Yarrowia lipolytica: one gene and its partner. The protein of the gene in region 1 purifies or fractionates together with the protein of each later gene. This does not show direct contact. Links are inferred from orthologs where the notes say so. Each region holds a gene or a part of one and is shown in the gene's direction. Other genes may lie near its edges.

The links.
Region 2: the proteins of YALI1_E31724g (region 1) and YALI1_D25208g purify together in Saccharomyces cerevisiae (affinity purification with mass spectrometry; 3 studies listed by BioGRID, with this or other methods). This does not show direct contact. The link is inferred for Yarrowia lipolytica from reciprocal best matches to the Saccharomyces cerevisiae genes RBA50 and GPN2.

The regions. Positions count from the first base shown.
Region 1 is NC_090774.1:3,170,410-3,174,868, forward strand, and holds YALI1_E31724g (uncharacterized protein), read left to right. Parts: upstream 1-2,024; coding exon 2,025-3,671; downstream 3,672-4,459. Other genes in the region: YALI1_E31717g (uncharacterized protein), read right to left, coding at 1-1,324; YALI1_E31754g (uncharacterized protein), read right to left, coding at 3,898-4,459. UniProt on the Saccharomyces cerevisiae protein: Forms an interface between the RNA polymerase II enzyme and chaperone/scaffolding proteins, suggesting that it is required to connect RNA polymerase II to regulators of protein complex formation.
Region 2 is NC_090773.1:2,519,005-2,522,550, reverse strand, and holds YALI1_D25208g (uncharacterized protein), read left to right. Parts: upstream 1-1,771; coding exon 1,772-2,806; downstream 2,807-3,546. Other genes in the region: YALI1_D25216g (uncharacterized protein), read right to left, coding at 1-968; YALI1_D25178g (uncharacterized protein), read right to left, coding at 3,138-3,546. UniProt on the Saccharomyces cerevisiae protein: Small GTPase required for proper localization of RNA polymerase II and III (RNAPII and RNAPIII). May act at an RNAP assembly step prior to nuclear import. Required for establishment of sister chromatid cohesion.

The DNA.
Region 1 (4,459 bases):
TTCTGTATCTAAGAGTAGTAAAACATCTAATAGAAAAGTTGACGGTCTTACTCCATCCCTTACCAAACTTCACAAGAAGTGAATGCGTTCTGGGAAGAGTCTCCTCCAGCGTTTCAGACAGTTCCACCATAAGAGGGTTTCTGTGGTGAATCCGACGCTCGTAGCATAGAAATGTTGACTGGAAAGGAGAGGCGGGACTGGCCTGATGTTTTATTCGCTCTCCAAGTTTGTTCTGTGTCTTTTGCTCCTTGGATCGGTTAGCTTCCAGTTGTTTTCTTGCGTCAATGAGGTCTTGAGTATCGAGACGAGTCAGGTAGATGCCCTGCAGCTTCTGAAGAGGAAACTGAACCACATGCAGTGAGATGGTGGCTGCTGCTCCAGCTACAAGGATGCTGAAAGGTGCTAGGACCTTGTTGACGATGCTTTTTCCATTCTCATCAAAGCCTGAAGGATGTTCCTTGAGACGATCAGCATACAGCCACTTGGCATAGGACCTGTACCACGATCCCTTAACCATTTCGAACGTGGCAAAAAAGACCCCAAAACCCAGACTCTCTTTGACAACTGACAACGTAAAGCCAGCAAAGACACCTGGTGCACCTGTTTGGCGCAACTTCTCCATTCCATAGGACCACATAGAGGGCAACTGTTTGGTCTTGAGCACTTCTGCTATCGAAGAACGCCTGTAGATGGCGTCGATTGGTGCTGCAGCTACTGCCTGGGCTGCTCCAGCGACTGCTCCGGCACAAAACGTCTGTTTGAACGTGTATCGATGAGGCATGAGTTCATCGATGATGTATTTCACATGCGAGCCGTCCATTCCCTGGGTATCATACCATGATTTCCTTAGCAGCAGTTGTCGTTGGTGTTCGTCTTCTTCATCCTCCTTTTGTCGGTCTTTCTCTGATTTGAATAATGGTAGACATCCCAGATATGTGGAGTACAATACCAGTCCTACGGCCGAGTTCGCCAATAAGGGGGGCAGCAATTGATTTGGAATAAAACCCCAGCCATGCTGTTTGACTGCGTTGGCAATCAGAGCCGGACTGCTGTGTGTTTTGAAGCTCCAAGGTTTGTCGCTGTTTGGAGACAGCGCCCGTGGAAGCGCTAAGTAGTCGACTCTGGTAGGTCGAAAGAGCTTGACAGGCACACGGATGTAAAATGTGAAGAGCTGGGATGCGAGCGCCCGAGTACCGGCCGTCGTAGCTCCAATAATCCGGGCCGAGCTTGGTTTCCATGCTTCGTTATTGTTTTCGTGCGGTTCGGTGAATTCCGGAACCTCGGGCAGAAATCCCGGAACGTCGCCGGGCTCGATTTTCTGCATGAGGCCTAGAAACACTCTCCAGTGTCGCGGGACGTGAGGAACGGGCTTCTATCTGCTGAGCGATATCAGGTACTGGTCGTGCTTGCGGTTGTCCAGAGATCCAAAACTTTTGCGATGCGTCAGGGACGCACAGTTTACCGACAACGGAGGAGTGCAAAACGTGGGGGAACAGGGCAGTTTGTGTGGGTGGGTCGGCGAGTCCGAATGATGATTTTGTATCGTTACAGATTGCGTGGGGTGGAGATTAATATGGCTGCTCGAAAATTGCTCGTGTCGCGTTACTGAGAGGCAGAGTACATGTACGCGAGCTCTCTTGTGTCTACTCCTTCACCTCTTTAATGTTGCTGTACATATACGCGGTATGATAGATGTGGTCAGGTGGTGGATTTGGGAATGAAGGTCGGTTTGGGCTCGGTAGTGGTAATGAGTGTCATGGGTGAGGCTTAAGTGGCGAGAGATCTAACTGGTCTTCGTCTCTAGTATGTGTTATCACGTCAACACGAAATTAACCTGTGATGGATAATAAATGAAGTGTACGATGATGAGAAGGGTTCCGCCCACCCGCGAGGTGCGATAAAAGGATTGTGGAGCACAATATTTTCTGCTCTGTTACTGTAGTATCATACCATATCAAGTTTCTGGTTCTAACGTCTCCATCATCGAGTCAGATCCGGTGATTCTTTCTCTCAATCAACGAGCTATGGACTGTTGTTATCCCAGACGCCACCAATTTCTGTTTGGGAGATGGGAGGACAAGGGCCGCACACCCAAACCATCTGTTGATCAAGGTTCGATACCAAGGCATGCATATCGCCAAAATTATTTGCTACTCGTACAACAAGAACCACAGACATACAAACACACAATGGACGTTGGAGATATCATCGAGCGAGACATTGAAGACACACCGGCTCCCCTACCGCCCATGCCCCCAAAGGCTCCCAGCGCCTTCAAGCGAGAGTGGAAGCGAAAGCCCAAGCCTGCTCCTGCTCCTGCTCCTGCTCCTGCTCCTGCTCCCGTCAACAACCAGGCACCGCCTGCAAAGCCTACGGTAGCTGGACGTTTCCAGAACGACTATCCGTCGGATCAGAAGCTGACTGAAGCCGAGGAGATTCATCTGGAGAACTTGTCAAAGCTTGCCAAGATGAGTCCTGAGGAAATTGAGGCCCAGAGACAAGAGATCATGGAAAGCATGGATGAGAACGTGCTCATGGCACTCATGAGACGGGCCAAGATCAAGGAAGACGATATGGAACCTCCTCAACAGGAGCCGACCGTGGAGGAGCCGGAGGAGGTTTTCAATAAGTCGAAGCCTGTCAAAGAAGAGCCACAGAGTGAACACGCGAGGGAAGAGCCGACAATTACGGAAGTTAGGGATGATGTTAAGGCAGAACTTGAGCAGACTAAAGAGACAAAGGAGGCTGAACGCTCTCTAGGAGATGACCTAAAATCGTCATTGGGAGCTAGAGAGGTCAAACCTAGCGATATGGAGTCCAAGTACGATGTTGAGGATGAAGATGATGATGACAAACCTGCCACTACCCCAGGAACACCCAAGAAGGAGACCAAGACAGCGACTGCATCGGAGATGGATTTTGATAGCTCTGCCACACCAAAGAAGGTCAAGTTTGAGGCAAAGGAGGATGGAGATGAAAAGGGTAAAGACAAGGCAGAGTCTCAGAAGTCTGGCGTTCAGGCAGTGCATTTTCCAAAGCCTCCCACATTCGCTGCTGACGATGAAGATCCCATGTCCATCGACGACGAAGACTTTATGGAGAAACTACATGAGAAGTACTTTCCTGATCTGCCCAAAGAACCGTCCAAGATGGCATGGATGACCGATGCCAGACACAGAGTGGTTGAGGAGCGAGGACCCGATGGAGAAATGACTGCCAAGATCATTCAGGACACTTCAGATGCTCCACTGCCTAAAACTATGCTCCCATCTGAGATTAGATTCGACTTCAAAGGTAACATCATCACCCCCAAGACCTCTCGAAACATCCCAATGAACCTTGGTCTGCATCACCATGGCGAGAACCCAGAGATGGCTGGATATACCATTCCCGAGCTAGCTCAACTTGCGCGAAGTTCGGTGTCGGGGCAGCGATGTATTGCCATCAGAACCCTCGGACGAATTCTGTACCGTCTTGGAAACCCTACTGTCATGGAGAAGGAGTATGGAAAGACCATTGGCATGGGTCTTAGAGGTCTCATTGACCAGGGACGAGTCATCGAATCAATCACCGAGGCCACCCATGCCAAGCAGATGAACGTTGCAGCATACGCTACCGAAGCTCTCTGGCTGTGGAAACAGGGCGGAAGTGATACTCGACAGGCTAGTTAGAGTGGAGTGGGATAGTGGAATAGTTAGTTATAGATAGGAATTCATTTATAGGTCATCATCAATATTATCTACAGTAAATATCACTTGTATATACTACTCAATTTAAAAATCATAATACATTATTACTAAACTGCACAACCAACTACAATCTATAACCATTGGCTGTGTTACTTTTTTTTTTTTTTTTTTTTTTTTTTTCGAAAAAAACTGTTTTTAGCAATGCAGCTTACTTGTCATGACGGTCCTTTTTGTAACCATAGGGGTTCTCGCTGGTCCATCTCCACAGATCGGAGCAGCTTTCGTCGAGAGTCTTCTCTGCCTTCCAGTTGAGCTCGGAGTTTGCTCGGCCGGGTTTCGCGGTGAGATCCAGAACGTCTCCGTCTCGTCGACCGGTGATTTCGTAGGGTAGGTCCTTACCCACGGCGTTGGAAAAGGCCTTGACGACCTCAAGCACAGTAGATCCGTGGCCGGTTCCTAGGTTCCATTCTCGAGAGAAACCGTGCTTGAGCTCGGGGGACCCCTGGGGCAGCTGCTTTCGCTCTTTATCGACAGCCTCGAGCTTCTCAAGGGCAGCCACGTGGCCAGCAGCAAGATCGCACACGTGGATGTAGTCTCGGATGGGAGTTCCATCTCGAGAGGGGTAGTCGTCACCAAACACAAAGAGCTTCTCTCGTCGGCCCACGGCAACCTGGGCAAGGTAAGGAAGCAGGTTGTTGGGGATACCAAGAGGATCCTCTCCAACCAGACCAGAGGGATGGGCACCCATCGGATTGAAGTATCGCAGAATA
Region 2 (3,546 bases), on another chromosome or scaffold:
TCCTCCTCCTCCTTGAGGTTCTCCTTGTTCTCGATCTTGTTCTCGATCAGGTTGTGGAAGGCAATGATGGCTCGGACCAGAGTGGAGAGGTAGACAATCATGAGCTCGTCGTTGGACTTGACAGCAAAGGCCTTGGCCCGCTCGTCAGTGGTCTTAGCAGCGTCGGTGAGAGAGTCGTCAGAAGACGAAACAGAAACGTTGGGCAGCAGGTTGAACACATCCTGCAGCTTACCAAGAATCACATGGTTCAGAGGCAACTGGCCCTCGACCACCTTTTGCAGGTAGTTTGCAATCTCGTGAAGCCGTTTGTGGAGCGATTGCAGGGACATAAGCTGGTTGGTGATTCGCACAGACAGGTTGCCGGCCGCGGCGTCTCGCACATCTCGCAGCAGATGCTCCACACCAATCTCCTCGGCCTCCTCGGCCTCAATGGACGACGGCACGTGCACAAACGTTCTGTCGGTGGCGCTGCCGTCGTCCTTAATGTCCTCAATGGCAAAGTAGGCATCGGTGGGGACACCCACTTCCTGAGGCTGGATGTCGACAATCAGTAGCAGGGGGTTGGGGGTGTATCGCTTGAAGAGCTCGTTGATCTGGAGATCGGAGGCTCGCAGATTGGGACCCGAGTGGTACCATCCAATGAGCTTTTCCTTGGCGTTGATCTTCTTGAACATGTCGCCCATGTTCTCCACAAAGTTGTGGTCCAGAAACCACACGTCGGGCTGCTTGTCGTCTTCCTCAAAGGGAATGGCGTACGAGTTGGTGACTCGGATCGTGTTGCCGGTGTTGTCGCCCAGAAGCACGCCGACCACCCGCTTTTTTGTGTTCATGGCGATTCGGTTGTAATGGTCCACTACCGAAAGCAGCACCAGGGGGGCGACCGTCACTTGCTCGTAGGGCAATGACGACACCAGAGTCGTGGGGACTGCTGGTGCCGATCCGTTCTGCGCGGGTTCTACTGTCGTCATTTCTGTGTTGAGAGATGGGATGTGATGAGGTTGATGTGATGTGGTGATAATAGAGAGTGGTGATGCACGCACCAGATAGAGTTAGTTGCCACCTGGATGGTGGTAGTTGAGATAGGATAAAGGAGCGAAAGAGGGGAAAATAAGAGGTGTCAAATGAGTGGAGAGTGTGTGATTTAGTGGCCCAGGTCGTCTGTTGCGATGGATGTGTCGTGATGGGTCATAATTACTAAGCTCTGAATGAAAGGTGATGTCAAGTATAAGCCAAGTATATTAAAAACAAGTCAAGTAAACTCAACTAACGCCACCATGAGGGTAGTGAACAGTGATGGGAACTTGTAAAGTAGCGGTCAATGTAAAAGTTATATTAATCGAAAGAGAACTTATGGGGGAGTTGATTTACCCACAATATGGACAAAAACACTCTCCATATGAACAAAATATCGATGTCCCTAACAGCTCATTTGTCTTCTCTAATTACCACCAGTACAGTATGTACAGTATGCACTAAAGTAGCAAAAACTAGCTCTGTAAAATACTGCGTTGGGACTGTACGCAGAGTGTTCTCATACCTCCATCTGTGGGCTGATAAGATAGTCTTCAAAGTACGCTTCCCGATATCGGATTTGACCAGAAATAAGTTCAAAATAATCACCTTGTCGATGTCTCCTCTGTCTTGTCTTTCCAACCTCATTTTCCCTTCGCCACCTTTCGATAACTACTCTCCACTGCACGCCGCCTTACCGCAACCTGCATGAAACTTACTGCCAGAATTATTTGTCAAACTAACCAACACCACACACAACATGTTCGGACAGCTGATTATCGGACCGCCAGGGTCGGGAAAATCGACCTACGCCTATGGAATGTACCAGTTTCTCAATGCCATTGGTCGCAAAGTCTCAGTGATCAATATGGATCCTGCCAACGACCATGTCCAGTATCCGTGCGCTTTGGACATTCGAGACTTTGTGCAGCTGGAGGATGTCATGACGGAACAGAACCTGGGACCCAATGGAGGCATCATGTATGCTTTGGAGGAGGTGGAGACGGATGTGGACGGGTTTGTTAACAAGATCAAGGAGCTGGGAGACAATGAGTACCTGCTGTTCGACTGTCCCGGCCAGGTGGAGCTGTTTACACATCATGGCGCGCTGCAGAGGATATTCAAGCGGCTGGAAAAGCAGGAGAAGGCGCGTCTCTGCGTGGTCAACCTCGTCGATTCGCATTACATCACCAAACCATCTCTTTACGTGTCAGTCTTGTTGCTCACTCTGCGATCTATGCTTCAGCTCGATCTGCCCCAGGTGAACGTGCTGAGCAAGATCGACTTGATCCACCGCTATGGAACGCTCGACTTCAACCTCGACTATTACACAGAAGTGCAGGATTTGCACCACTTGTTCCCTCTGCTGGAAAAGGAGGCAGGAATGACCAAGTATGCCAAGCTGACGGAGGCTATTGCAGAGGTAGTTGAAGACTTCGGTCTGGTAGCCTACGAGGTGCTGGCGGTGGAGGACAAAAAGAGCATGATCCAGCTGCTCACAACTATAGATAAGGCGACAGGCTACTTGTTTGGAAGTACCGAGGTCGGCGGAGACTCGTTCTGGGCGGAAGCAACTCGACAGGGAGGATATGTGGGTGGAGTTTCTGATATCCAGGAACGGTGGATCGATTACAAGGACGAATACGATGAGGAAGCGCGAAAGGAGCACGAAGAGAAGCTCAAGGAGGCAGAAGAGGCCACTAGACCTTTGACTGCGGACGAAGAGTGGGAGCAGGCTCTACAGGATTATGAAGAGGGTATGGGAGGTCCTGCTATTAAGCGGGAGAACAAGTGAGAGCCGTCCGATACTGCATTTCTTATGAGGCCATGTGTGCTTTCTATGAGTGCTCCACCAACTCTATGAGCTCTCAATGGGCGTCCTAGAACCCATGAGTCATGAACAATAGTTCGAACTAGAGCTGTATTATATTATTAATGTATTGATTTAAAAGGAGAGGCATGTACGAAGGAATATGAGAATCCTTAGCCCTTGATGAGTATGCTGAAGGTCTTTTAATGGATCTTTCCATTCCTGAATCTCCTGAATCTATTTTGTTACTTAAATAAGGGCATTAAAAGAGTGTCTCTAGGACCACCACGAATCTGGAATACTATACATTTTTTCTTCATGGGATAACACCCGGATCATGATGCGCACCGTGCGACCGATGGTGGAGATGCATATGGTGGTCGTTAAGGTGGAATTCGTTTTCGAGGTCGAGATGGAAAGCGTCAGTCAGATGTCCGCCCTCGTCGTGGATTTCCATCAGCTCGGGCATGATGGTGGGGTCTTTTCTGTCGAGCACCACCGACTCCGATGTTGTGTCTGCGTCGACATGAGGAGCGTCTCTGAGCACAGACATACCGGTCTGAGTGGGGTCAGGCTTATCCAGAGCTGTGAATGGCTTCTTAGAGATCATGGAGTAGATCTTGAGCACCGTCAGACGGATGATAAGGATACCGAAACCCCACAGAATGGAGCCCACGGGAGCAGCAACAAAGGCCCCAAAGGCAGACCAATCGTCTCCGTACAGA